Linked DNA regions of Lepisosteus oculatus. Each later gene encodes a partner of the first gene's protein in a complex. Links are inferred from orthologs where the notes say so. Each region holds a gene or a part of one and is shown in the gene's direction. Other genes may lie near its edges.

Region 1 (7,224 bases):
GCGTCAGTTTATTTTACGCAGCTGGAACTGAGCGAAATATGATTATCTGATTACTACTGAGAACCTGCTTTCAGGTTAAGACACAAAACTAACACTCACTACACGCTTTTGATACGTCCAATGTTTGCGAAGCTTTTTTTTTTTGGTGTTATTTTTTTTAAATCGCTGTTTGAAATATCCAGGAGAATTTTCTAGCGTCTACTACATTCCTTTTAAACCTCCGGTGCGCGCTCCCGCAATTCCTGGTAACGAGCAGGGCATGCGCACCGCCGCCACGGGTCTGGGCGGCGCAGGCGCAGTACCACTCGCGGGCTCGGTGCGCGCCGCCGAGGCCAGGCTGCGGCCCAGGAACTTCCTAGAGGAAAGTCGGAAGCTAGGCGTTCAAACGTCTCCCAGAGCACAGCTGCTGCGGAGAGGGGGTAACGAAAAACGCGAGTTGAGACTTACGAAGTACAAATTCTGCCACCGGCCCGCCGAGTCCATGTCCCGAAACTCCTGGTCCATCGTTGCTGTGCCGGTGCGGTGCCAATCCCCCCCCTCCCTTCTCCGCGGACGTAGAAATTGAGTCAGTTGTTGTCGGCGTTCACGGCTTCAGTCGCTACACATCCTCCAGCCGAGCCATTTGCCGGAACACGGCGAAACAAACTGCGTGTCCGTGTAACTGACATCAACGCGGAGAGCGGCGCCTCTGCCCGCGCCTGCGCACTGGCGGGGGGCCCTTCGCTGCTCGGGCTGCGGCGCGAGAGGAGGCGCAGGCAGGTTGTCGGATGTGCGATGAGACGGCGGAGGGAGGTCTGGCGCCCAGGGATGACACCGGGCGGAATGAATGTCATTGGTTAGACAGGTGTATTTTTAGCTGGACGTGTAGGCTTTAGGTTAATCACCCACCCCACACAGACACACATATATACCCCCCCCCCGCCGCCTACAATTGCAATATTCTTGCCGCTTTTTCAAGAACATCAAACCGCAGCGAAAAAAAAAACTTCGCTCTCTATTACCTACTTCTTCTGCCTCCCGATGAACGATAACGTGTCACGCATCATGACTGTATTGAAAACTGTTGGAAGAAATAAGGAAAGGAGATGGGCGTAAGACCGGCGCTGTGTGAACCGCGCAAAATGTCAAGCTGTGTCTGACAAAAAGGTTATAACTCGGTTTCAGATGAATCGGGAAGTGGCGTGTCCCTTTTACGACACAAATCAAAACTTCATTGACGGAATGAGGCATTTGGCGACTACCGCTTTTCAGGGTCGTGCCGGTATCGTGCCTGCCCATCTGGAAGCTGCTGAAATGAACATTAGCCTTTTAAGGGTGGTGATCAATCGTGGGAAGTTATTTGCTCTTTCGCCCTCGCGTTATTTTTTTTTTAACTTGAACCCATGAAACATAGCCCTCAGGAGAATACGAAATCTTGACCTTAGACGGTAGCTGCATGTGCTATTTTTCTAAGTGAACTGTCTACAAAAGAAAACAGGTCAGCCGAGAATAACACAAGCGATCGAAAATCCTCTAATGGCTACTTACAGATATTTAATATATGTGTAACAATTATCAGAAACAATTGCTGCTAAAACTGTTAAAGCTAACTGTCAACAGGAAACCTGAAATACACAAGTTATTCTTCTTGGATCTTATTCTTTCACTAGTGTAATGATGGTGTTGATACTGTGTTAGACACAGTCCAGTGTGTTTGGGAATATTTCTGGGGAGTGCTTAGTTTTAGTGTTAGGGTCTGGGATATGTCATTAGGTTCAGGTGTAATCAGAACTCAGCAATGAGCTCAGTGCAATCAGACTGCCATCTGGAACCACCAGCAAATACATAGTATTTTCTGACAGCTCTCATCCAGCTTTCCAGGCAATGGAAAAAAAAATGAGTTTAATCTTTTAATAAGAATAACAATTGCAACAATAACCCTTCTTAATACACATTAACAGTGTCTGGCATTAGTCAAACTGAACTGGTTGTGATGTTTTTCTTATTCTGATGGAATTTGAAAACTGTGGTTCCTCATTATTTTCACTTTGGTTCATCCAGCAGACTTCTTTGGGATGAAGAGAGAAACGTGAGTCTGAGGACGCAAGTGGAAACTACTTGGACATGCCGTTAAAACTGGGAGCACGATGCACTCCTTTACTCCCAGAGTGGCGGGGGTGTGGAGCAAGCTCCCCGATACCCTGGTTTCCTTCAAGAAGCAGTTGGATGAGATCCTTGTGTCAATTAACTATTAACTACCAAACGAACTAGGGAGACCAAATGGCATCTCTTCTCGTTTGTAGCCGTTCTTATGTTCTCTGTGTGGCATGGAGCTCGGAAAAATAATTGGAAAACAGCAGCCCCAGCTCAGCGATTTATATCACAATACAGTTCTCAGAAGGGCGAGGAACATTACAGCTGATTCCACCCACCCTCTGCATTCTCAAGTCATAATACTCCCCTCAGAGAGACGGTACAGGGTACCAATTTCAAATAAAAACTTTTATAAGACGTCTGTGTCAGTGAATGTATGTAAATGTAGTCCCCCCCACTACCCATTTATTTATGTATCACATACTGATGTTGTGACTATTTGACTCTTATGTTTTGCTTGTGTGTTTTGTACTTCTGTGGGAGAATCCAAAAACAACCGTAGTGGACAATAGAGTATCTGTCTAGGCCTCATCTACCATGTTAATGCTGTTGTCCTGCCCCCCTCCCCAAGAGGAGTGTTCAAGATTCCTGCTGTTATTTTCCTCTGCCTGGACAACTGTGGTGCTGCTGCTGCTCATCATGGAGTCATGAAGCTCCAGAGCTGAGGTGGTGAGGGGCTTTCAGGAATTTGAATACCCCATTGGAATTGCCACATGATCACCTGTGATCCCTTACCCTTATACTGCGTGAGTGCATCGTGGCCATCGAGCGCATTTTATGCCTTGAGTGCCCTCTAGTGGCTGACTCGTGGTCATTACAACCTCTCCGCGCTGCTGTACAGCTACAATGCCGGACATCCCTTTTAAGTACACGTGTATAAACATCACCGCAGACATCCACATTTAAAAAGTACAGCATATGGAAGCAATAGAAGCATTTTAACTGAACTATATTTAACGCATTATTTGGGAGAATATTTAGGTTGTGCTTTTAAGTCTAAAAATCATTTGGAAAATCGTTTCATTGTTCGGCTACCTCTTTTTCAAAGTTACTACCAAACGGGTTAGATGGGCTGGCTGTTATTCTCTCGTTTGTAACTTCTCTTTTGTTATGTCTAAATCAATCTTCATCCAAAATCATGAGGTTATTAACGAACTGTGGAATCTGTATGATTTGATCAAATCTGCATATGGATCTTGTGTTGACAAAACGCAGATCCGATTAAGATTTTTTAAATGTTCAGTTTTTTTTTAAGCTTCCTGGAAAGCGCTCATAAAATCTGATTTGTTGCAGTGTTAGTAGTGTTGGGAAGATTTGCTTTGCTTTTAAGAACTGTTATAATAATAATTTATTATTACCACTCAAAGCGCTTTACAGGTAATGGGGACTCCCCTCCACCACCACCAATGTGCAGCATCGACGGCAGCCATAGTGCGCCAGAACGCTCACCACACATCAGCTCTCAGTGGGGAGGAGAGCAGAGTAATGAAGCCAATTCATAGAAGGGGATTATTAGGAGGCCATGATTGGTAAGGGCCAATTGGAAATTTGGCCAGGACACCGGGGTTACACCCCTACTCTTTTCGAGAAGCACCCTGGGATTTTTAATGACCACAGAGAGTCAGGACCTCGGTTTTACGTCTCATCCGAAGGACGGCGCCTGTTTACAGTATAGTGTCCCCATCACTATACTGGGGCATTAGGACCCACATGGACCACAGGGTGAGCACCCCCTGCTGGCCCCACTAACACCTCTTCCAGCAGCAACCTTAGTTTTTCCCAGGAGGTCTCCCATCCAGGTACTGACCAGGCTCACACCTGCTTAGCTTCAGTGGGCTGCCAGTTGTGAGTTGCAGGGTGATATTGTGCTATTGCACAATACTTCGTAAAAGATGTTTTTTACATCAAATGATAACTTGGGGGAATTGCTTTTATTGGGAAATAAAATCATGGTGCATAATAACTAAACACACGCTACATGGGTCACTGTAATTGAGGGGTTGTAAAATCGGATTTTCCCAGAATGTGTTCATATTAAACTCACTTCTCACTGAAATAACAGAGGAATAGCCCGAGGTGCCATCTTGTGGTGGACTGTTGCAATGACCTCATGAAGGCAGGCGCCAGAAATGGGTTGGAGAACGTAGGTGCAGCGCTCACATGTAGTTAAATCTAGGTTGCATTAGAAAAAATAAAGTCTGGGGTGAATTGTAACGCTTTAAAACACGCCTTTGAAGAGTTCAGAACAGCGCCGGTGGACGATGTTCGTCGCTCGGAGCATTGCGGCGGATCACAAGGATCTGATCCACGATGTTTCCTACGATTTTCACGGCAGGAGAATGGCGACTTGTTCCAGCGACCAGAGTGTCAAGGTAATTCCATGCGAGTTTTTTTTTTAAAAAGATGAATACATCATCCTAACGCCGAGGAGTCCTGTCAATAAATCAGTACCCATCGTGCTAGGAAGCGTAAATTTAACAGCTGCACGAAGCAATCGGCTTGAAGCGTTTCTGCGTTGCAGCATGTAAACAAACGGGCTGTGTAGGCCTGAGAGTTGGGCGCCGGGTCTGTGAATGTCACGAGTGAATTTATCTTGCATTGGGGTTTGAATTTAGTTTTCCGCTCTGGGCTGGGAACACATATACTTTAACCACGAAGAGCTCGGATACAGTCCTTTATAAAGCCTTGGTTTAGCAGGTTATACTATATCAGAAACCCTCAAGTATACGTTTGCTTCTATGAAGTCCTCAATGCGCCACTTGAAGACGTATAATAGTACGACTTGTTCAAGTGTTTTATTTAAATCTATCGTTTTAAGACGTTCAAGCTTCACAAGTAATACATCATTAAAAGATTAATAGCTGGTATATTTTACTACTACTATGTCACCGAGATAAAGGTTCATTAATTTCCCCCTAGCTGCACACACTTGTAGAACAGATTTTAACCAAATTATTTTTCTTAATACATTAGCTCGTAGCTTGTACATAGCTATATAAATCTTTGAGACGTATTGCGGAACATCCTGACATTTTAGTATTTACTGCTGCTGTCTAACATTCCATGCAGAGATGATTTTCAAAGCTTTTAGATGTTCAAGCCAAGGATGAGTTTGAGCCAGTTATTTAATTATTGTTTTCCAAATCGGTAAAACAATTTCATGGCTTTTCTGGAAAGACTGGGCAATGTTTGATCCCATTAGCAAAAATCGATGTTTATTTTTCAAAAAATAGTGTTATTTATAGAAAGATAAACAAAATACACAGAGAATATTTACAAGAGCTGATTCTGTGATTGTTTCAGGTCTGGGACAAAAGTGAAAACGGAGAATGGCACTGCACAGCCAGTTGGAAGGTGAGGATTATTCAAAACCAGTGCTTAGTTTTTTTTTAATCTTCCGCCCAGAATGTGTTGATAAAAGTGTTTTCATTCGCCTACGACACTGTAGATCAGGAATTAGTTGAAGACGGCAAAGGGCCTTTCCCTGCATCATGTCCTGGTTTGTCTCTGCTGCATATTTTTTCTTGCTCTTTCTGCTTGGATCATTTGCCAAATTGGGGACCTGAGGTAATTAAATATAGGCTCTGAAAAGCTGGATCGAGTGGAGGCTCAGTAGTGCAGTTAGGCCCTGGGTTCAATTCCTGGGGTGCTGCCTGCGTGGAATTTGTAGGTTCTCTCACTGTGTTTCTGTTGGCTACCTCTGGGTCCTCTGGCTTCCTCTCACAGGCCGAAGCCCAGCATTATAACATCAACCCTACCCTTCATAAATTGATTCTTCTCAGTCGTGCTAATATATGTGGTCAGACTTCATAAAGAGCTCTCATTAAATCTCCCATCTCCAAGGGGAGCCTGCCAGTCATTCATTTATTCAAGCGAATCTTCTTTTTAAAAGACCTTCGTGAGTTATGGTTCATAACGTGGTTGGCAGATAATCTGTCCTCTCAGAAAAATGGAAAGGAATGTAAAGCAGACACTGAACAGCACCACGACCACCGCAGGCAGAGGCTTTCCATCTGAGAGCATGTGTGTGGGGGGAGTTGGAATGAGAAACCCGAGGAGGAGGTTTCTGTATCACGCAGAGCTACAGTTCTATACAGTACACACACCAACGACTAGATTCAGCGCAGATCTTGCTACTGTTGAATTCACTAACCAGCAGCCTGGGTCGAGCAGACTGTGGTGTTGTACATTTGAAAGCCATTTCTTAAGCTTCCCGGCTGTGGGAGAAGGTTGTGGTGTTTTGCTTTTAAGTACTTTTTCCAACGGCCTGAATGAGTTCAGGCCTGAGAAGCAGAAGACTGAGAAATGCTTGCAGCTTCTACTGTTCTGCTGCATCCTGTCGAAATTGTCTTTCTTCTACCTCTGTTAGGTTTTTTTGGGGAGTTCCTCAGTTCCTTCTATAAAAAAAAAAACAGCCTTTTTTTCTGTCAAGCCCATGTGTACGGGCAATATCAAAAGTTTCGCCTCTTAATTGGTTGGAAGTGTATTTGGAAAAAGAGAACAGGAGGCAGTTCTTGTCATAACCTGAGAAAGGCCGAATGGCCTCCTCTCGTTTCTCTCCTCTCAGCTCTTTTAATAGTTTGTAGAGATTTTTCCATGAAAGTTCTCGTTCTGCCTTTTCTTGAAAGGTGGTATCGCCTTCTACAATGTGGCTGCCTAGCGTGTTCCATGTCCCCACCAACGATTTTTCCATTGGGGTTCTCGTTTACAAGTGTCCTTCAGGTTATACATTGTGATGTTCCTGGTACTCTCCCAAAACAATGGCACCAGCAATCCTGGAGCGGGACACCACATGACAGAAAAAGAGGAGGCATGATGTAAGAAAATTGGGCAGGCACTAATGTAGGGGCAATATGTGTTGATTTAGGTAGGGGTGTGTTGAGATCAGCGTATTACAAAGCAGGTCACTCTGGAAAGTAGAATCGCAGAGCCTCCATCTGTTCCTTTGTGATTTGCTTGAAATTGTCAGAAATAAGGTATGAATAACACAGGGGTGGGTCTTGTACAGCCACAATTGAGCAGGTAGCTTGATTGTAGCTTGATTTTTCATTTTCTGAACAATTTAGTTTTGACCAACTCAGCAGGCAGTTA
Region 2 (7,195 bases), on another chromosome or scaffold:
CTCCGCCTCCTCCTCCTCTCCCACGCTCCCCGCTGTCCGGGACTCCCCGCAGCACTGATCCGCGGAGACGGGCGCAGGCTGCAGCTCATCGACAGTCGCTCCCGCTGAACTGCACGCGGCCGAGACCGTCTCGGCGTTCTGCAGAAAGACAACAGGCCTCCTTACAGCCTGGACAGCCGCAGCAGGGAAGTTCCAGACCTCGTTCAGCCTCGAGGCAGTAACACATAACCCAGCAGACGGATTCCAAAGCTGTTCTATAATTTACTCACGGAGTGGCTGAAGCAAGCTGATCAGCCATGTAGCTGGACTCCTTCAAGGAACGGCTGGAGAGTCTTGGAACAATACCAGCATGCTGGACCCAATGGCCTCCGCTTAGCTGTAACCTCTCTTACATCTTATGTTGCCAAATACAAGGTAGCCAGGGGAGCTGGAGCCTATCCCAGGAAGCTATGGTTGCAAGGCAGGATACACCCTGGACAGAACACCAGTCCATCGCAGGGCACACACAGACACAGACAGCACCCCAGGAACCGAACACAGGGCCCCAGTGCTGAGAGGCAGCAACGCTGACCACTGCGCCACTGTGTCCCCTGCCTTAAGAAAACATTAAAATGGTAGAGAAGGCATTAGAAGTAACATTTGGACTGCTGCTGGAAATGGAGAACAGGCATCCACTCCAGCTCTGTCCAGTCCTCACCAGTAACTCCAGCAAGTCAGCTTCAATGCTGGGCAAGGGGCTTCTCCAGAACTGGAAGGAGTTGAACTGGGCATCGTCTGGGGAGCTGGAATTCTGTGACTTGGAGCAATTTGGTCTGACTCCTACATTCTTGTCTGAAGTACCTTTCTGCAACAACAACAAAAGAAAAAAACACTTAAATCAAATATTGTCCACTATATAACCTACAAACAGGACTTCCCCATCCTGTTCCTGGATATCCTTGTATTTGCTGGATTTCCTTCTAGCGGAGCTTAATTACTTAATTGAAGCCTTAATTGAACTAATGACTTGCTTGATTGGAAATGTTGCAATATTTTCCTACTCAAAATTCTGACACAAGCTTCTTACAAAATGTGACAGTTAAAAGGCAATCTCCATTTTTTTAAAAGCTGATGTTAAAAATAAATCACATGAATCCAGTTATTAAGTCAATTAAGGTTCAATTGTGTAACTCAGAACTCAAGGTTTATTTTAGACCTCCAGGACTAGAATTGGAATCTCTTGGCCTGCTGTGTGGAAGTGTCCATCAGGAAACTGGAGCAAAATAAAAGTTGGTATCCTTTGCTGTTAACTAATTTTTGTGACACTTTTATCAGCAGCAATATTGATTTGTACAAGTGAGAGTTTTATTGGAGCAGTCTGAGTGAACTGCAGTCTGCAGTCCCACAATCTTCCAGCTATAAATCCAGGTCTCTAACCACTGTTTTGCACTGTTACTACTCTTTCCAGGATTGACGATCAAGCTAAATGCAGCTACTAAAAACAAACCTGCAAAAATGAATTTGCTTACACAGACTGTTACCTCACCTCATCATATCTCGGGACACTTAAACTGGAAAACAAAATTAACCCTACAGCTTGAAGGAGAACACTGAGCAGCTGGCCATGTCTGTGTTAAATATGTTTGTGAAGACCAGTCTCTATAGGTCCCAGCAGGATTCTGGTCACAGTGTCCTTGGCCTCTGACCTTAGACGGGATGTGGAATCCAGCAATGTTGACGGGTGCCTCTGGGTGTCTCCAGGTGCTGCACACTTCGACCTGAAACACAAAAATATAGGTTTTACTGTTTTATTCATTGGTTGCCAATAGGAAAGTTGTCAAACTGCAGTCTGCGCAGGACCCATCTGCTTTGGGTCTTGAAATCAGATGAACACATCAAACCCAATTTAGCATCTGCGCTCTCACTGCCTGTTAAATTTAGAGTAAAATTCAAAATTCTGCTCGCTTTTAGCCACTGACATTTGGTTCTGGTCATTTTATAGTTCTTATTCCACTCCTGACTCTGAATCAAGTGTTCGCGTGACGGGATTCTGTTCCCACTGGTCCCAGGCCTTTACTCGCCGACAGAGCCGCCTGTGTGCGTGTGGAAATCCACCTCCTCCTCACCCGGCTGAGCGCTTCACTGCAGGCACTACTCCCAGCACCAGTCTGTGGCTGGTGTGGGAATTTCACCCACGAGCCCCCGGGCACAGCTGCCGAACCCGGGCTGTAGAGCACTCCGCCTAGACACGCGAGGAGCTGTGCCCGCACTGCTGTGTGTCTGCCATGCACATTTTTATCTTTCTCTGCACGTTGCACAGCACTCCGGGACGCATTGACACACGAGGTGCTCTTGCGAATGAAAATTATGATAAAACTATTATAAAACCGAACAGCCGCCGTTTTCTTCTTACTTTCACTTCTGGTTCTGTCTTGAGGTGGGCGACGCCAAGGACCTCCGACTCCAGCTGGTAGGTCAGAGCCAGCACTTTAATGTCCGTCGCCGAGAGGCTTGGGTAGTCTCCGGTCTTTTTGGAGAATTCAGTCACTGGAATCAAAAAAGCAAGAACCAGGTGAAAGAATCCCAGTTGGAGAAATTGATTCGTGCACTGCCTGTGGAAGCCCAAAGGGGCATTTATTATAGCTAAGATTCTTTTGGACAATGCTGATACATCACAGTTCTGATCTACTGTACATCCTCCCAATGAGAGAAGCAAAAAGTGTAACAGTCTCCAAACATTTTAACTATTTTTATGGCATTGGCTATAACTGGTATTTTAACCAACTGGCCCAAGCCAAAACAGGTCCAATTTTGCTAATCCATACATGAACTTTGGCATAGATAACACTCTGACATGCAGAAGGTAGAGTTATTGCCAATAACACCAAAAGGCCCAAACATTAACTCACCAATTTGAATGAATTCGGGAAGGGGCTCCTTAAACTGCAGTTGATACGGCAGGAACGCCAAACTGTTCCTGGTCTGTTTGTCCCGGATTTCATTCACCACCTCTTTCACTGTGTAGATATTCTTCCCAAAGTCCTAAAATAGGGGCGACAAGACTTGTCACATGGGTAAAGAGTATATTTAAAGTACAATCTGGATATCAGACGAATCTTAATTTTGATTAGGAACAAGTAATAGGTTTATTCCATGCTGAAAAGAGAAGAAAGAAAATAAACCTATTACGTGTTTCTCTGCAGCCTACGCATGCTGACGCAGCTACCCACCTTAAATTTGATTAGTTCGACATCTAAATCTCAACACCTTAGGAACAACTGAAGATCCTTAAGAGAAAATGGCTACTAGTAAAAACCATTCGAATTTTAATATCTACAATACGGAAGAATAAAAACTACCACGCTATACCCCTGAGCCACTTCTCCCAGTGCGATAGCAGCGCACCAACGCACTCACACCTCCGCTGTCCCAGCACGGCACACCCCTGATTGTGAGCTCTTCGGTTCTGTCTGTACACGGCTAATACAGAAACAACATCCCTGTGCGCTCCGCTCACTCTCTTTCTCACCTGCAACGGCGCCTTCTTCAAAAAAGCTCCAGCATCCGCGACAACATGCTCCACCACGGCAGAAGACATCTTGAAACAGTTGCACAACCAATCAGAAAATTGCTAAATTTGCGCAGGTCAGAGGATTTCACAGAATAACAAAAGAGTTTGCCCCCTGTCGGTGGTGTTTTGCACTACCGAAAATGATCACGAGTCTGTTTACTTGGGTCAATTTTAATCAAATAAAATACTCTTTGCATTTTTTATTATAATCTACCAATAAAGAGGTATCTAAATAGTGTTTGCAATGATGCGATATTATTGGTAATGATGCTATACGAATATGATTTACCTATCAATAATAGCACCCTGTGTTCATGGTATTTCTTATAACCTACCTATAGCTGCCGACCTGTGTCAATTCTCATACATTTCTAGGTTCATCAGTAATACATATTTGCATACATTATCTGTAGTGAACGAGGAGGATGGACAAAGTGTAATTACACTTTTGGGGGTGGAAAGGAACTTCACCCACCATTGAGTAAAACACAGCACATAGCTGATTTCAGGAGGATACCGAGGAAGAGTTATTTTAAGAACAGCGCCATGTGATCAGTATTGACCCGGAAGTCAAGACCTTATGTTCATCGAGCGCAGCGAACTCTGGGATATAGGAACGCCCTATGGAGCGCCGGCAGCCGTGTGACGTCACGGTGTTGTTGTTATGGTGCTGAAAGGGAGGCAAGATGGCGGCGCGCTGGAGCAGCGAGAATGTGGTGGTGGAGTTCAGAGATTCACAGGTACTGTGGGTCTCGATCACGGGAAAGCGATAGATCTGCTGGTCGTGGTCGTGGAGATTTAGACTCCCGACACAACTGACCACGTCGAGAGCGTTCGCAGGAATGAGGGTTTTCTGTAACTTAGGGTTGTCACTCAGTCAGTTTGCAGTCAGTGCAGAAACCAGGAGTTTTGCTTTATCTCTTTAGTCAGCAGTTTAACACTGCGAAGAAGGGATGCATCAATGTTTTTAAAGTTTAACCTTTTCCTCAGTGTTAGGAGGCGTTCACTTTTTAGGGGACATAAAATCGAATGGATTCCGGGCTTCGATAGTCGGAATTGAGGATCCTTGCTCTGAAGTAAACATGATATAATGTTTTATTTGTAGAACCCTTCACTGAGTGACAGTTGGAAATTGTGGCTTATTGTTGGCTAATTGTGGTTATTTTGGTGTGTTTTATTCCAACCCCCCTCCCCCCGCTGAGTCAGCAGATCAGATGTGAGATCTGCCTCTGTTCTCCAGTTTGACCCCCAGCTCGATGCTGGCTAACTGACCTGTCTAATTTTCGCCTCCCACATCCCTGCTCCGTTAAGGTTGCATTAGGAAATGTATTCTTGTCTTGCGTATAAAGTACTGTAGTACAAGTATGTTTAATAGCAATTATCTACAGTGTGGTGAAGAACTGTAAAGTTATGGTTGCGTTAACATTGCAGTCAACGCTGAATGTTAATTTTGTGATTTTGAAGAGTATCCGAGAAGTAGGTGTCTATTAAAATAGCGTTCCAATTTCTCAGATTAAACCTTAACGATTCATCTTATTCAAAGCAACTTACAATTTTACTTTTGAGGTGTGAGTGTGCAGTTGTGCCTTACATCAGTACTCCACAACATAAATGTGTTCGTAGAATATCAAGAAAATCTTAATTGTTGTACCCAAAACAGGTTGATTTCACGTGGAACCTTTAATTCCTCTCAAACATTTTTATGGAATGAATATGTAATCAGTGCTTTAACTAAATTAATTCATTAAATACAGATCGCTCAATTTACCTTAATTTTGCCTATTTTCTGTTAATTGTATGACAATAATTTGGAACCTTTTGCTGCTCGTAATGGTGGGAACATTAAATCCAGCTGCTTATCAATTTACTAAAAAAACAAGGACAAAATGATGTTTATGGATTGTTAGTCATCTTTTATGTCCTGTCTCTGCAGGCGACTGCGATGTCAGTGGATTGCCTTGGCCGCCATGCTGTGCTGTCTGGGTGAGCTCTCTCATCAACCTCCAGCAGCGGCAGCCAGTGATGATGCACCATGAGAGCCACACTGCCCCTGTGGGCAGTGTTTTATTACAGCAGGACTCCGCTTTGCAGTACAGCAGTATACCTTTCGTAGTGTGGAGGGGTGCATTCTAGTGCATTGTACATAGTGAACAAAATCTAGATGGTGCGGCACTGAAGATTCAGAGTGGTGTGACACTGTTTTAGAGCTTCTCGGTAATCTATTTTATTTAAGGAAAAGTGAAGAATGTTGTCTCGACCTTTTGTAAAGAAGGTATCCGGGGTGGCGGTGTGTCCGCTCGGTGTGTGGTACCTGGAGCCGCAGCAGGTGTGAACCGTGTCCTGTCTGCGTGTCCCAGGCGGCGGTTCCTGTACATCGTGAACCTGGACACCCCCTCCGAGGCCCCGCGCAAGATTGGCCGCCAGAGCAAGTGGGACGTGGGGACGGTGCAGTGGAACCCCCACGAGTCGGGGGCCTACTTCTTTGCCGCCTCGGTGAGACTGTGGTGACAGGAGAACCAGACGAGATCGTTTGCCTCAACCTTTACTGCATCTGCACCCCCTTGGTTCCCCAAACATGTTCTAGCACCCCAGATCAAAGTCACTGAAGCAGTTTGGTTTTTAAATCCTGTGGTATTTAGTAACTATATAATGAAAGAGATAGAACTATATAATTTTTCTAAAATAGTTAAGAATATTATGGAAGAATTCAACACCCTTTTAAGTTTATCTTAAAATGCCAAGGTTTGGTGGAACAAAGTAGTTGTGTCTATGTGCCTGTGCTTAATTTGTGTTTTCAGTGATCCACCTTCTAAAAAAACCTTCTGTCGATGTGTTGGAAGTAAACACAGGGCTGGTTGATTTTCACTGTGACAGTGCTGAGAAGCACAGCCCAGGTTTCCCTGCAGTGGTTCAGTGCCAGTCTGACCCAGAGGCCTTCTTGTACTTGCAGAGTAACCAGCGGGTGGACCTGTACAAGTGGCGCGATGGCGCTGGGGAGATCCACACCTCGCTGCAGGGACACACGCGCGTCATCAGGTGACAGGCCGGTGGTTTGGGGTAGAGTGCTGAAATCAACAGAGAGAGTCTTTATTATTAGTATTGGTGTACAGACAGAACAAAAAAAAGTCAGGAACAACAATATACATACATATTTGCATAAAACATCACATGTTGAGTATTGATATGGCTACAGGTTATCCCCCTTTCCTGCCATAACTTGAGCCTGTTGCTTAGAAGTCCCTTCCTCTTGCAGAAAGGAATCAGTTAACCCCTTCTTCACATCTTGTATCTTTCTTCACAGTGCACATCACATAGTAGAGTATGTGTTATATATTGTGGCCAATGTGACCCACTTATTTGCTTTTTCATTGCACTATTGATAATGAAATCATAACTTAGTCTTGTGCTGCTTTTGTACTTCACAATGTTACATGGGCAAGTATAATTCAAAGGATCCTAGTGGAATATGCAGGACATGCAGGAGTAATGCACTAGTATCTGCTAGCGTGGTGTGTGTTAATACAGCAGAAGCCCAGTCCTCTCTCTCTTCCTGCTTTCCAGGTAAATGGTCTGACAGACGTGTTGTTTGTGCCTTGCAGTGACCTGGACTGGTCGTGGTTTGATCCCGAGCTCCTCGTGACCAGT
Region 3 (7,696 bases), about 5.5 Mb from region 1:
CAGAGACATCTGAAACGTTTTTCAAGTTAAGGGTATTTTAGAAATGTTAGGTCATGAGTAATGACAGTCAACATTTTAACACTTTTCTTAAAAGATTTAACCTGTCTTAAATTAGCTGAGCAGGGACTGAATAATGAGATATACTGTATAAAAAGAAGACAAATGATCTGAAGATGGCACAAACTGTGATTCTTGCAATAAATTATGAAATTACAAGATGGTACCAAAGTATGCACAGAAATGTAAAATTAATTAAAACCATTTTTAAAGAAAAGTTGATGTCTCATTTACTGTACAGTACATGAACATTTTGGAAACCTTTGTAGCATGTAATCCTGTCTGAGTTGCAGCTGATTTTCACCATGTCTTTTTTTTTCATTCAGTTTTATTGAAAAAAAATCACCATAAACTCAATTATTTCTAAAAAGCAGGAATTAGTTGGAGTTGGATCCAAGCAGCTGGACTCCATACAACTGGTCCATTCACAACAACTGCAACATTTTGACCCTTGGAGACATTCTGGCCAGCATTCAGTCGATGAGATCTGGAGTAACCACCAAATGCCCTGTCAATCTCCAGTGCTCCTCTCTCAAATGTAGATAACAGCAATGTGTGAAGCACAACTTTCCACACCAGATGTAATAAAAAGACCAAATGATGCCAACATAAAATGTTAATTAAATATTAATACACACTCAGGAATATGAACACGGCTAAGACTACATAAGCCATCAATATTACATAAATAAATGTTAAAAAGGATATTTTGTGCTCATATTTCTCAGCTTTCTACTAAACTTTTCTTATCGAAAGTTCAGCAAAGTGTAAAGGTTCAATTTTGCCAATTTGACCATAGTGGTTTACGCAGGTTTATTTATGGCAGGTGTCTCCTTTTTATACTGTGCTTTGTTTTGCTTCCTGACAAGTTCATCTCATAGTGTTTTCATTTATTCTTTTTTCATTCTAAAGCAAATGGGTTGTAATCTGGCTGTGCGTTAAAGCTCATCATTAATGATGAAAAATAATCCATAACTTCAAGTTTCCCCTGTGGTATTACCTGAATGCGGAATCACCAGAATGTGTTTTATATGCGTTAAATACCTGACTGGATAACATGTTTAATTTATTTATGCTCACAAAACTTCGGAAGAAAGAAACAAGTGTCACTTGCCACAATTCATTGATACAGTAGTAATAACAATAGAAGCAGTATTAAAATAGAAATAATCAGAATGAATGGTAAGCTCTTTCATACTGCCATTCCTAAACCGCTTGATGTAACAAGCATTACCTGTTACAATATTGGAACAATTATTCTAAAGTTGTCAAGGTACAGATGCAGATGCATTAACAAACACTACTTTGTCAAGGCTTGCCACCATGTAACAGCTGCACTGCTAGAAGCAAAATTCCCTCACCATTCAGTATGAAATGAGATACAAGATCTGTGTTTTATTTTCAAAAAGACAATCCAAAATATTCGTTTTGTGAACAGATACTAGACAGAGTGCTGGTATAAAAGCTGATTTTTTTCCCAACATTTACATTTGCTTTACTTTCTGAAGATTTTATGAATGTACCCTACTTTAGCTAATGACCTGCGTTTTTTTTAAATAAAATTCTTTCCAAAAAAATATCCTCACCAGGTGCTTTGCCAAAGGGTGATGAATGAATTTTATAATATTCTCAACACTTTTAGTTTTGAGCCTTCACTCCCCGGCTCTTGAAAGAGTGCAAAATGACAAATTCAGAATCGTAACTAGACAGCATCTCCTAACTATGACGAGACTCTCTTCTTTTGGGAGGAAAAGTACTGAGTTTCCTGTGGACACCACAAAAGTAGAGTTTACTTCAGAATCCTCTCTAGAAGGTGATGTGCAGCCGTGCAACTTTCAGAATTCACACTCCCTTTTAGAAAATAATGTCTATGCACTTCTGACCAAATATTTTAAATGTCACCTAAATTTAACAAAAATAAATATTTATAGTCATGTGGGATAAGTATTTGGGAACAAAGGTCCAGAATATTTTTCCCGTGGGACCACGGAATGTGTGATAGAGCAGACGGGGAATAGCAAGAGGACATGTTGAACACACAGGATCTTCAGAGACACGGGAGGCACTTCTCTACACAAAGGGTTGTGGGTGTATGGAACAAGCTACCCCAGGCAGGCAGGTGAAGGTGATACAGTGGCTTTTTTTCAAAAGCAACACAATTAAGTTCTCAAATGAATTAGCTACTAGCAACCTAATGAGATACATTGGCCTGGATCGTCTCTTTGATTTTAATCTTTTGTAGGGTTTATGCCAGCAACTTAAGTATCTTTATGTGCCTTGCCAGGATCGAGCTATTCCAAAATCAGAGAACTCTCGGAAACACTTAATTGCTACCACAGACACTTGGCTTTTGCTATTTTCCACCTCCTACTCCAAGACAGATCTGACAAATTGAAAAACTTTAACTTCCCACAAGAACAAATGACTAAAACTAGAATTTCGTACTAGGAAGCCCTTTTGTGCTTTGATATCTGTTATGCTCATACATCATGAACCCTCCCACCAGAAAAGCTGAAGTTAAAGAAAAAATAGATATAATTTGAAACATTTCCAGAAGCCCTTTGAGAATTATCTTTCCAGATCTGAAAAAACCCCAGGATTTTTATAATGATGTTTTTATGTTGATTTCTAATATACATTACTTAAACATGTTTATCTGGATGTGCGTTAAAGGTCATTATTAATGTTGAAGAATATTCTGTAAGTAACAAAAATGCATCCCTCAAGAAAAGACCCCTGAATGACATAAACAATAGAAAGGGAACATTAGAGGTTAAAATTGCTCTGAAAAAAGAAGTTGTGATGTCTATTTCTGATGAAAACATGACTTGTGTTCAGCGTTGTGTTTTTTTTCTATTTCAGCGTGGAGTTTACTTTCCCTTGTTCCTTCGCTGCTCCGAGCTCTAAGCTCCAAGCAACAGAAACATGCTTATTTTAAAACTAGACAAGGCACTGCGTCTGCATATCTTTCTACACGTCAAAAACAAGTATCCCATTGTAAACATGCGCCTAGATTCTTGTCTCTTGCATATCGTTAACTGAAATCACCCATGAAGAGGAGGATTGTCATAATTCTCTTAAAAACTGTGACGGGAGAACATTTTTGCTGGGGGAGTAATTCGAATCTAATAAAACAAGCCTTTAACACTTGGTGATGAGACACCCACTCCTACAAGTACACACTAGCTATTGCCAGCTCCCAGGAATTTGTGACACGTGATTATTCAAGTGTACACAGTACATGCTGCTTTTGCACAAATTACAGAGTCTAATGATACAGATCATTCAAAAATCTCTTACTACCGGAACAGTTTAACGGGAGGGTTTACTACAGTTGTGCTTTCAAGTGGAAATCACGTGTGTGTATTTTTCAATGAAGCAAGTTTCCTATATCTATTATCATTACGCCAAAAACGGGCTAAAGGAAGGATGTGACACAAACCTAAACTCTGGAATATGATTTTAAAATAGACTAAAGAGAAAAAAACTGTTTCCATATCTTCAGACTTTGATATGGCCAGCAGCCATATCACCCTGCAACTCACATCTGGCAACCCACTGAAGCTCAGCAGGTGTGATGCAGGATGGGAGGTAGGTAGGTGCCTTTTCGGGCCATAAAGGCCCATGGGGGGCAAGGGCTACCATTTTTCTCAAACATCTGACACTGGAGGTGGCAGCATCACACTCCAGCTGGCCTGTTACCCCCAGAAGGATTAACCCCCTGGTACTCATTTGGAAAGCAGGCTGAGTGGACCTGGGAGCCGTCTGGAAGGAATTAGAGCAAGCAAAATCACTTACCCCTACCTGGGGTTGAACCCGAGACCTTCCAGTCAAGAACTAGACACCCTTGCTGCCTGAGCTACCACAGCTCACCGGGATGGGAGACCTCCAGGGAAAAACTCAGATTGCTGCTAGAAGAGGTATTAGAGAGTCCAGCAGGCGGCGCTCATCCCCGCGGTCTTCTTGAGTCCTAGTTGTGGCCTGAGTGACGGGGACACTATACTGTAAAAAGGCGCCGTCCTTCGGGTGAGACGTAAAACTGAGGTCCTGACTCTCCGTGGTCATTAAAAACACAGCGTGTGTCTTGGAAAGAGTGGAGGTGTCCCCCCGTGTCCCGGCCGAATTTGCCCCTGGCCTTTACCAGTCATGCCCTCCTAGTAATCCCCATCTCTGAACTGGCTTCATCACTCTGCTCTCCTCTCCACTGAGAGCTGGTGTGTGGGGAGAGGACTGGTGCATCATCCAGGTGGGGCTGCACACTGGTGGTGGTGGAGGGGATCCCCATTACCTGTAAAGCACTTTGAATGGAGTATCCAGGAAAAACACTATAAGTTATAGCACAATATAATCATAATAATTATTATTATTATTCTCTCTTCTCTTTTCAACATGGAATAAACCTATTACTTGTTCCTTATTATTTTTATTATTAAAATTCACCGACTTGTACAGTATTCCTTATAAGACACATCATGTGTAGAAGAATGCTAAACTACATATATTATTAACATTATACGCTATTTGGTACTTCTTTTTCTTAGATTCACATATTGGGCGTACATTCAAGCGCGATGCGGTAAGCGGCGCTGTATAATTTAACTCGAGTCCTGCGCAAGAACTGCCTGCCACGTAACTTGTTTCCCGGGGAATCATTTTGGTGTAGGACTGTTTTGGTGCCCGATGCTACTTTAATGTAAGAAACAAAAACATCGTGAGTTGCAACTGTTACTTTGTGCGTTTCGCATTTTGTCGCGGTGGCTTATCGTTATGGTGCGCATATAGTTTTGTTAATGGAGAAAGGATTTGCTTTAATTGTTTATTAGCTTGAGCTGCCAGTAGCGTGTTTCAGAAGTTTGCAGATCATTTTGTGTTCACGTGAGAGGTTATGATTCTAGATAGAAACTGCGGTTATAACATGGTTTGATTCAGGTATTTCCTCCCTGCTTCGGGTTGTCCGGATTTCTTAAGAGTTAATATTTCGTGCACGATTCTCTGCAAGCGCGGTACATAGTAGCTGCCGTCCTTTGGTCACGTTCCCTTAATCCAGTCATAAAATAATAATAAAAGTTGGGAAAACACGTTACTTTTCCTAATTTTAGTTGTTGTATTTGTTTCCCCCAAGTGATCCAGTGATGCCTGGATCTTGAGCTCACTGGAGCAGCGGTGATTGTTACTCGCCCAGGAAGATGAGTGCCTCGAAGCCCGATATCCTGTGGTCTCCCCATCACGTTGATCGCTATGTCATCTGTGACTCGGAGCTCAGCTTGTATCGCATCGCGTCGCTGGGGAGCGCGGAGACCAAAGCCGGAGTTCTCCAGCTCTCGGGAGAGACAGCAGCGACGCTGCTGGCAATCAATTCGGACACCCCGTACATGAAATGTGTAGCCTGGTACCCCAGGCCTGAGCCCGAATGCCTGCTTGCGGTGGGGCAAGCGAACGGACGCGTGGTGCTGACCAGTCTTGGGCAGAGCCACAACACCAAGTGCAAGGAATTAATGGGCAAAGAGTTCGTCCCGAAGCACGCCAGGCAGTGCAACACTTTGGCTTGGAACCCTGTGGACAGCAACTGGCTGGCCGCCGGACTTGACAAGCACCGGGCCGACTTCTCTGTATTGATCTGGGACATCAGCAGCAAATTTGCCCCCGAAGCCTCTGTCCCCACCGAGAAACTGCGTCTCTCGGCTGGCGACACCGACGCAGGCCTCGTGGTGACAAAGCCCCTCTACGAGCTGGGTCAAAATGACGCTTGCCTGTCCCTCTGCTGGCTCCCCCGGGACCAGAAGCTGCTTCTGGCCGGCATGCACCGCAACCTGGCCATTTTCGACTTGCGAAACACGAGCCAGAAGATGTTTGTCAACACTAAGGCCATCCAGGGGGTCACTGTTGACCCCCATTTCCATGACCGAGTCGCTTCCTTTTTCGAAGGCCAGGTGGCCATTTGGGATCTCCGGAAATTCGAAAAGCCGGTGTTGACCTTAACCGAGCAGCCGAAACCTCTGACCAAAGTGGCTTGGTGTCCCACCCGCACCGGACTTCTGGCCACCCTGACCAGAGACAGCAACGTCATCCGTCTGTACGACATGCAGCACACCCCGACCCCCCTCGGCGATGAGACGGAGCCCACCATCATCGAGAGGAGCGTGCAGCCGTGCGAGAACGTCATCGGCTCCTTTGCGTGGCACCCATCCAGCCAGAACCGCATGGTGGTGGTGTCGCCCAACCGCTGCATGACGGATTTCACGGTGTTCGAGCGCATCTCCCTGGCCTGGAGCTCCAGCACCTCCCTCATGTGGGCGTGTGGCAGGCACCTGTACGACTGCACGGAGGAGGCAGAGGCCGGCTCCCTCGAAATGGACATTGCCACTAAAATGAGGCAGCGAGCGCAGTCCAGATATGGCCATGACACTGAGCAGATCTGGAGGAACCACCTTTTAGCCGGTGGGGATGATCCTCAACTGAAATCTCTCTGGTACACTCTGTATTATATCCTTTATAGTAAAAAGGGTGATCTGTGACACGCCCGGTGATTCTGTCTGCATCTGAGTCCACATTGCTGTGAGCATCGCTCTGCACTTGAGCATCGCTTGCTTGTCCCTTCCTCTCTGTGTTGCGGTTTTTAATGAAACAGCCAACATTCCCCAGATCACTGTCGAGAGACTGATTGATTGGCTGGAGCTCAGTAATATACCAACTCCCCCCTGCCAGAACCATCATAGTCTCCGATGTGTGGTTTTTCTGTAATATATCCTCTTAAATCCAAATTACAGAGACTGTAAAACAAAGCATAAAAAGTTATATATATATATGTATAATGTGTTACTTTTCTTTTTGAATTGTATTTCTAGGTTCTATTTAATTGTATTTAAAGGTTCAGAGCACTTTTTATTTCAGTGTTAATTTCCTATGCATAAACCACTTATGAAACAGTACACTGAAGACCTGGAACAAAAGAACTTGGGGAACAGATTGCCTCTTGTCTATTCAGGCATAAAAAACATAGTGAAGTCAAGCTCAGGTAAGACATTTTTAACACACTTTTTCACTTCACACCGAATTGGCAGTGTCTTATGATTGAGTTGGTCTCCTCTTCCTTTCGATCTTTTTCTCTAATAGTGATTGCAATAGAACATACGGTTTCTTAGAAGTGCCCAAAAGCCCAATTTAAGTCATTGGCGTTTCATTAAAAGGTCCAGCAGTGTTTTAAAGATGTTACCACAGTGCAGAAACAGAAAAAAACGAAAGCAGTATGAACCTGTGCAGTGAAGTAGCTTAGCTGCCTGTAGATAAGCGTTAGGACCAGATTCTATGGGCAGCAAGTACAATATGATCAGTGTAAGTGTTGAGGAGCTACAATTAAAAAGGTGCATTTTATGTATTGCGTGTGAGATAGTGCTGTCCACATGAATTTTTTCTTTTTTAATTAATTTTATAATTTTTTGTAATCTCTTTCCCCATTATGCTCCGTGCACAGGAAATAGGCCTAGTCTTGCTCTCGGGAGGCTTTGGGGTGTCATAGCTGCCCGTACTCTTCTTTAACACTTCTTTGAAACTATTGGCAGACATTTGAGCTTCAGTCCCATCACACTGCTTTCTATCAAATTGTTGACCAGTGCTAACTGACAGATTGTGGTATCCGAAA
Region 4 (7,123 bases), on another chromosome or scaffold:
GTAAACGCCCACCCGAGCCTATTGCCAGAGACAATGTCCTCTTTTTGCCTCCTACCAAGAAAAGAGACGTTTGTTTGTCGCGTGCTGCATGCTTCAGATCGGTGAAGGCAGCTCTTCCAAGGCCTCTGTCAGGAATGTTTAGCACATGGGCCACAGCCAGATCGTTCTTGGAGTTCAGCAGCAAGTTTAAGTATGCACAGATTAGCCTCTTCATCACTTTCAGCAACTGCATTGGAAAGAAATGCAAAACAAACGTTAAGTTCAGCCTGCACAAAACGGATAGAACATCTGTTTTCAAAAACAATAACGCAGCAGCTGTTTTAGGAATAAGGCCGAAGAGAGAGTAAAACCGTTCAAATGACACTTAGAGATAGGAAAAATGTTTTTCCAGTTATCAAATAAAAAAAGGCACCTTGAAGACTATAGCTGGTGAAGGCCACCCCACCCAATTTAAAACAATCTAAAATAACATTGTTCATTGCCAACCTCTACTGTTAACCAAGCAGCCAATACTTTACAGTTCAAAGACCCTGCACATTTCTTTCAATAAGCCCATCTACATATTCACAGTGCATTTAGAAAATTGTTCGTTTTAAAATCAAGAATGAAAGAGCACACTGTAGCCACAAATTGTTTGCAATGCATCCTAGATGTCTGAAAACGTACTCATAAATCACCAAGCAACCAATACCTCCCCCCATCATATCAGAGAACACAGAACACACACACATCAAAAGCTACTAACAAACTTAAGCAAAGGCTGTCCCATCCATTGCTTGTAACTTCTAATTAAGATCATAAGAGCTTAAGAATTACTCCACGGACACGGATATTCTTGCTGTAATCATATGTCATTTTATAAATCCTGCTAAACTAGATCCATTTGCTCTCATCAGTCAGGGCAATAGGATTTAACTTTCTCGTTACTGAGGGAGCTTCCACTGAAAACACTGGACAGGAAGAGCAGAACACGACGGAAAAAAGTCCTCTGAAGACCTATGTTCTTGTCAGTTTTACGGTTTCACAGTCGAGAACACTGTGTTCTTTGGCTAACCAAAGTTCAAATCTATTACGTCAAACAAGGCAGATAAGACTAAGGCACAAGTACTCCATGTATTGTACAGAACCACGATATCAGATGCTTGCTGAGCAAATCGTTAATATGTATCCAATTCCTTGACGCGTGGATCCTATAGCAGGTGTCCAATATCATTTTTGAAAACTTAGAAAAACATTACGCTTGGATCTCAATTTTATTGATTCAAACACTATGAAAAGCAGGCACGTTTGTTGCTGATGACCACAGGATTTGAATTTAAAATGTCAACTATCTATCGTGTCATCTACATACAATAATCACAATAAAATATTACGAACAACGGAAAAAGAAGAGTGGCTGTCTTCTGGAGTCAAAACAGCACTAAGTGTACCTGGGAACTTGTCCATCGGGGCCTGCTGGATGGAGTCGATGGAACTGGAGGGACAAGGTCAATCTGATCGCAGTATTCAGAGTTACCTGACAGAAACTCAAACAGCTGGACCTTTTTCAAAGGAGAGAATAATCACCAACAGCCAAGATTCCCCTAGTACAATCCCACCTGAAAATCTGGATGCCAGTCAAAATTCAGGATCGCAGGGGAGCCACGGCCCATCCCAGCAAGTAACAGGCGCATGGCAGGATACACCTTGGATGGGACGTCAGTCTATTGTAGGGCCTCACAGACATGCCTACTTAATGCAACAAGCCAATCAACCTACCAGTACATCTCAGGACTGTGGGAGGAAACCCATGCAAATGAGAGAACATACAAACTCCACACAAATAGCACCCCAGATCAAAAACTGAAGTCAGCTCCCCAATGCTGAGCACTGTGCTACCCTACCATCAATTCACAACATAATCTGAATGTAATTTTTATTAATGACATTTAGAAAATGGACTTTTAGAAATGACATTTCTAAATTCCAAAACATTTAGAGATGAAGAGAAGTCAGCCCTGAACCAGTTTTATTTTACAGAGGTTAAGGAGGTATTCTGGGGGATGAAGGGAGTGATTGTTTTAACACTACATAAGCCATGACTTAAACAGCACCTCAAAAAGTAAAGGAGCCTCAGAGGTCACATTGCACTAAAGCATTGCAGAAGATTTCCTCATTTATATGTAGCAAGCAGGATTCCCAACAGGGGTACTTACAGCTGCAAGGCGATTTTCTGGATCGCTTTCTATTTTTAACTGCTCAGCCATCCCAAAGATGTCAATCAAGTCTACAGTATTCGATCTCTTCAGGAAGGAGTCATAGCTTTTCCGTATGATGTTGTAATTCTCTGGAGCATGTGAACCTTCATGGAATAAGTTCAGTTTATCCTTAAGTAAATAAGCCCAGGTGACAATGACTTCACTCAGTGAAACAGCAAATTCTCCTTTCTCCTAAATGGAAACAAGAAGGGAATAATATGAACCCAGTACTCATGTTCATCTCATGTAATGTATTATCTGGTTCATGTCTTTCATTTCATGCATAGAACTGATTAAGCCCATTTATCTGTCCCCCCCCCCCTATCATAGCAGAATGATGATAACCTTATGAAAATCTTGTCCACATAAAAAAGGGATTTCCTCCTGGATACACAAATGTTTTTCATCAATGTGTTGCAATGCTGTTCCCTCATCCGCACAGAAAGCCAAGCTGACATAAAAATAACTATTAAAGCTGTTAAGTCATGTGCTCCTCATGGAATCCCAGCAGGTACTAATCCAGTTACACATTCCTCAGATATTACAGGGCTCTGTACATCTAGCCAGGGAAAGATTCCTCTGAAGAGCAGGGCCACATTATTTTAGACCACAGAAATTAAAACCGTAACTAGTGCGTCTTCTAACACAAATAGGACTTGACTAAAACTAATAGGTTCGGCAGCGCATAACTACAAGTATGTGCCGTACACACTTTTTCAAGAGGAGAGGATTAAATTTCCTGCAACCTGGTGTCCTCTGCACAAACCAAAAAACAAACTGAGAAAAGATGTCAAAAACACAAAACAAGTATGGGAAAAGAGCACGGCACACTGAATGACTGGGGTACAGAAGGCAAACTCTTAGCACCTAAATCTCCAGTCCTGGTGTTGGTAGGTTTTTGTCCAGATACGTATAGTAGGGTGCATCAGGGGTGAACACTAACATACTTATTTGGATTCATATGGAGACATTCAAGATTTGGATTTGAATTTAGTCTACATTTTATTTTCTCTATGAATGGAAGGTTGACTGCCAGTGTGAGGACAGGCACATGACGTCAGAGCTGATCACAGAGTGGATTAGCACTCAATGAAACTCCTAATGTTCACGGTTAGAGAACTACTTCGTCGTGCAAAACCTCACCTGTTTGTTCACCTCGGCCATGACCAGCTGCAAAGCCGTGAACATGTCGTCTGCATTGCATATCGTTATCCTCTCGGACCCGAGCAGCCGGTAACAGTCTCTCCTGAAGGCTTTCACCAGGACCTTGAGATTTTGTTGAAGAATCGCCATTTTTTCTAGAAACCAAACGGGGGGATACTTGTGAACAATAAGCACATACATGCGACATAAAAGCGATGTTTCTGTTGGTGGTTGGTGGTGATGGCTCCTTTGACTGATCGAAGACGTACAGTTATGAGTTGCCTAACCAGCACTACCTAATCCAACTAGATTGGTTTTAATTGGGGGTCTGTGTACTCGCAATTTTATAAGACAAGTGTTTCAGTTTTCAGCGTCCTCGTGTTTGGAGAGGCGCTTTATAAATAGAAGTTGTTATTATTACTAACAACAACACCAATGCGTTTGAAATACAACGCATTCACACTTCAAACTTCAGAAAAGCAACATCAAAGCCAGTATCAAACAAAACGATCAAACGCTTCAAACCTTACTTAAAGTATAAGGGGAAATAACCTTAAGATACACGTTAAAGGCAGCTTTAACATATTTTTAAGTACCTGCAAGTCCCTGTGTCAACAACCGTGATGCTCTCCCTAGGGAAGCTGTTTCAGAAAATGTAAAAAATTTAAAACTCCTGACAGCAAGACACTGGCCAATGAGAGGGGGCAACCTTTCACCCGGATATGATCCTGGGGAGCCAATCAGATTGCTGGAAGCAGAAAACAGACTCGCGCGGGTTCTCTGTTTCTGCGTTGTGCAAGCTGGTGGTACAACTTGAGTTTAACACGAAAAACCACTGAAATACCACCAACGTGTTGGATTTAGCGACCTTACCCGTGTCATTCCGATATCCTGGTAGGTACGCTGTTAAGCTGTTGTGGAAAAAGTAATCATATGAACGAGTGACTTCACTTCACTTATTTTCAGTGTAGGGCAATATATATTTTTAGTATTGTGAGGACTTTTAAGAAAACAAAAACATACGAAATAAGTTCAAATGAAATGAAATTGATTTGTACTTTTATATTAAGGAAAACACCCGGCGGTTGATGCATGCCAGCATGTTGATTGCAGGGTTTTATCAGAGCACATTCTGTATCGGTGCAGGTATTATCACTCGGGGCAGCACATGTCGAGCACAACTTCATTTGTGTGCGTTGCTGACTGCTGTCGCTGTTTTAGTCCTCTTGTCTCCACCCAGAGCACATTTCGGCTGAGCAGCAACCACGTTGCTCACTGTGCTGTCAAACCATCCCGTGAAGTTTCAACGAATTTTCTTCTTAAGGCTTCGAGCATATGGAGTTCAGTTTGACTGCGCCGGGTTTCGAGTCTTTATCAACCAGTTTCCCTTCGTAAGCTGCATGCAGTAAAGACTGGAAACATATTGCTCCCTTACAAACGTGCTTAGTTTTTTTTCCCCTCTTCAACCAGTAGAACCAGTTCCTTCCAGTCCCCGTGAACTGCTTCAACTCAGTGACATCTGTGGGTTTTCAAGCATAAACTGCCCGTGACACAACATTTAGGTCTGGACTTTGACTAGGTCTGGTGAGTCCGTACTGTAGGTCTTCTGTCCAGCTGGGGTGATATTGACCTGAATCAAATCGCTGCTGGCTTAACTGGACCAGTTTACCAGCTTCTCTCTTCAGTCTTAGGGACTGCAGGCACACTGACAGCCCTTGAGGACCAGGACTGGGGAGCCCTGCAGTGCAATACCCCCGGACCTCTGTGTTTCTCCCCCATACCGTGTTGCTGGAGTCTCAGACAGTGATCCAGGCTGATTTCTGTCTAAATTCCACTGTTTCTTGGTACCCTGGGATCGCTTTGGCTATGCAGGCATTGGCTCCTCAGCACGTCTTATGTAGTTCACACTCCGTCACGTGAAAAAGTAGACTTTCTTGTGGTTTCTTGATCGGAGCCATCCAAGTTATAGTTCCTTCTCCGAGAATCATGGTAACTCACTTTTCATTTGACCCTTTCCCTGTTTTAGGAGAATCCCCTGCTGTAAAAGAAAGGGAATCTGACACCAGACATCGAGAAATTAGAATTTTGTTCTCTTGTCTGCGGGAGCACTTGTACTATTCAGAAACAACTTGAAATGCGAACAAGAGGCACTTCTTTACACAAAGAGTTGTTGGAGTGTAGAACGAGCTACCGAGACATGTTGCTGAAGCCAATACCCTGACTTATTTCAAGAAATCACCAGATTTCTTTCATTCAGACCCCTGAATGGCTAAACATTTAACACCTAGATGGACCAAACTTGTCTTTTGTAACCTTTCCTATTTTCTTACTAAAAGTTATCTGTCGGCTGAATCTGGCATCAGAGGGAGAAATATTAGCTCATGGTTTACGTGATTTTTCTTTTTGATCAATAATCGGTATGATTAACAGGTTCCCCTGTGTGTATATTTAAAGCCATCACATACAATCCAGTTAAAAATAGTTGTCAGATCATAGCAGGATAAAAAATTCCACTCTGCATATCCCCGCTTCCAACATTTTTCCTATATAGAGATCAACTTTCATAACGCACTTAAGTCCATTTAACTTTTCCACAGTTTTTTTTTCTTCAACTCCAACAAAGCAAGAAGTGCCAGAAAATAGAATTCCTGTGTGACAGTCGTGGTCCCATAGGGGGAGAAAGTCCTTTCCCAATTTCCCTACGCTCAGCTGTGCATGTTGATCTCTCTGCCAAGGTGGTCATATGGATCCCAGAATCCACACTCCAGCAGGTTGATAAGTAGAACATAATTCCTCAGATGTGTTTGTAACCGACAAGTCATGGTAAATGTTACAAACTAAGCAAATATGTCATGTCAGTTGCTGGCAGTCACATAAGGAATAATCTAAGCACATTCAAGTGTGTTCATGTTCCCAGATTTGTGTTGTGGTTGTGTGATTTTGCCAGATTAATTATTCTGCTGTGATTGCAGTATTTAAAGCATGCATTATACCACAGAAAATAAGTGCATTAGAAAGGTTTATGTTTTGTACCATGGAGAGAAATTGTAAAGCTGCGCTTTACTCAAAGCATTGTGGGTATCCGAAACAGGCTTCACAGTCAGGTTGTTGTGGCTCAAAGTCAGGTCTCCTCCATCAAGCTGGGAAGAAGCTTGATAAAATTTTAGGTTTACCTAGATACCAAATGAGCAGAATGGTTGGAAAGGCCATATTCTTATGTTCTTCAGAGCATTCTCGGCAGAAAATGTAGAAATAATCAAGTAAAAGTACAGTGCCTTACAAATTCAGATGAAAAGTGTTAAATACAATTTGCATTGAAGATCATCTGGTAGTTGTCATTTGAATTTTTTTATTCAAGTCATGCTCAGATCTACAAATGATTTTTTAGTCTTTGAAAAGAGGTTTCTGTACCTGACTGAGGTGATGTTCTGTTGTTTATGGGCTCAAATGTTTATGACCTATGTCCCCTGTGGTTCTTTCCTGAGGCTTTCAGATAGCATTAGTGGTTTATGGAATGGGGAATATTGGATTAAAAATGAGAATCTAGGCAATTTAAAGCTTTTCAGTACCTTAAAATAAGTGCTTGACCAGAGTGGCGCCCTACACTAACGTGATAGGTCTGGGTAAACGGAGCTTTGATCCTGTTACAGCTGTGTCAGCCTGCTTTTGTACATGTGAATATCGGAGAGAGGAAAAGACGTGCAGAATACCCCCCTGTGTGAAAGTCTTCACTTAATTCTTGG

The links.
Region 2: the proteins of seh1l (region 1) and wdr59 are in contact, whole or in part, in a cryo-EM structure (PDB 7UHY), measured with the Homo sapiens proteins. The link is inferred for Lepisosteus oculatus from reciprocal best matches to the Homo sapiens genes SEH1L and WDR59. Residues at the interface, in NP_112493.2 of Homo sapiens: Asn308, Tyr309, Met310, Asn312, Lys314; in NP_085058.3 of Homo sapiens: Pro713, Asp714, Glu716, Thr717, Pro718, Arg721, Arg837, Glu840, Gln843, His844, Asn847.
Region 3: the proteins of seh1l (region 1) and mios are in contact, whole or in part, in a cryo-EM structure (PDB 7UHY), measured with the Homo sapiens proteins. The link is inferred for Lepisosteus oculatus from reciprocal best matches to the Homo sapiens genes SEH1L and MIOS. Residues at the interface, in NP_112493.2 of Homo sapiens: Met1, Phe2, Val3, Ala4, Arg5, Ser6, Ile7, Ala9, His11, Lys12, Asp13, Leu14, Ile15, His16, Asp17, Val18, Phe20, Phe22, His23, Gly24, Arg25, Met27, Trp47, Ser173, Ser174, Ser175, Asn230, Leu231, Gly232, Arg233; in NP_001357005.1 of Homo sapiens: Arg279, Arg316, Ser317, Phe353, Glu354, Arg355, Ile356, Ser357, Leu358, Ala359, Trp360, Pro362, Leu366, Met367, Trp368, Ala369, Cys370, Gly371, Arg372, Leu374, Tyr375, Glu376, Cys377, Thr378, Glu379, Glu380, Glu387, Asp389, Ile390, Ala391.
Region 4: seh1l (region 1) and nup37 share a complex: the UniProt entries of both Homo sapiens proteins name them as parts of the nup107-160 subcomplex of the nuclear pore complex. The link is inferred for Lepisosteus oculatus from reciprocal best matches to the Homo sapiens genes SEH1L and NUP37.

The regions. Positions count from the first base shown.
Region 1 is NC_090705.1:9,368,364-9,375,587, forward strand, and holds the start of seh1l (nucleoporin SEH1), read left to right. Parts: upstream 1-4,212; 5' UTR 4,213-4,394; coding exon 4,395-4,505; intron 4,506-5,436; coding exon 5,437-5,487; intron 5,488-7,224. Other genes in the region: ptpn2b (tyrosine-protein phosphatase non-receptor type 2), read right to left, coding at 448-504. UniProt on the Homo sapiens protein: Component of the Nup107-160 subcomplex of the nuclear pore complex (NPC). The Nup107-160 subcomplex is required for the assembly of a functional NPC.
Region 2 is NC_090715.1:16,379,766-16,386,960, reverse strand, and holds the start of wdr59 (GATOR2 complex protein WDR59), read left to right. Parts: upstream 1-4,184; 5' UTR 4,185-4,236; coding exon 4,237-4,290; intron 4,291-5,483; coding exon 5,484-5,533; intron 5,534-5,907; coding exon 5,908-6,043; intron 6,044-6,500; coding exon 6,501-6,586; intron 6,587-7,149; coding exon 7,150-7,195. Other genes in the region: RNA-binding protein NOB1, read right to left, coding at 1-138, 698-844, 1,686-1,757, 2,393-2,526, 2,889-3,021, 3,509-3,577, 4,026-4,028. UniProt on the Homo sapiens protein: As a component of the GATOR2 complex, functions as an activator of the amino acid-sensing branch of the mTORC1 signaling pathway. The GATOR2 complex indirectly activates mTORC1 through the inhibition of the GATOR1 subcomplex.
Region 3 is NC_090705.1:3,822,349-3,830,044, reverse strand, and holds the start of mios (GATOR2 complex protein MIOS), read left to right. Parts: upstream 1-4,690; 5' UTR 4,691-4,750; exon of another isoform or gene 4,751-4,768; intron 4,769-4,804; exon of another isoform or gene 4,805-4,827; intron 4,828-5,179; 5' UTR 5,180-5,243; coding exon 5,244-6,540; intron 6,541-6,973; coding exon 6,974-7,072; intron 7,073-7,696. UniProt on the Homo sapiens protein: As a component of the GATOR2 complex, functions as an activator of the amino acid-sensing branch of the mTORC1 signaling pathway. The GATOR2 complex indirectly activates mTORC1 through the inhibition of the GATOR1 subcomplex.
Region 4 is NC_090702.1:54,841,440-54,848,562, forward strand, and holds the start of nup37 (nucleoporin Nup37), read left to right. Parts: upstream 1-4,120; 5' UTR 4,121-4,274; intron 4,275-7,123. Other genes in the region: parpbp (PCNA-interacting partner), read right to left, coding at 56-226, 1,431-1,541, 2,196-2,429, 3,381-3,530. UniProt on the Homo sapiens protein: Component of the Nup107-160 subcomplex of the nuclear pore complex (NPC). The Nup107-160 subcomplex is required for the assembly of a functional NPC.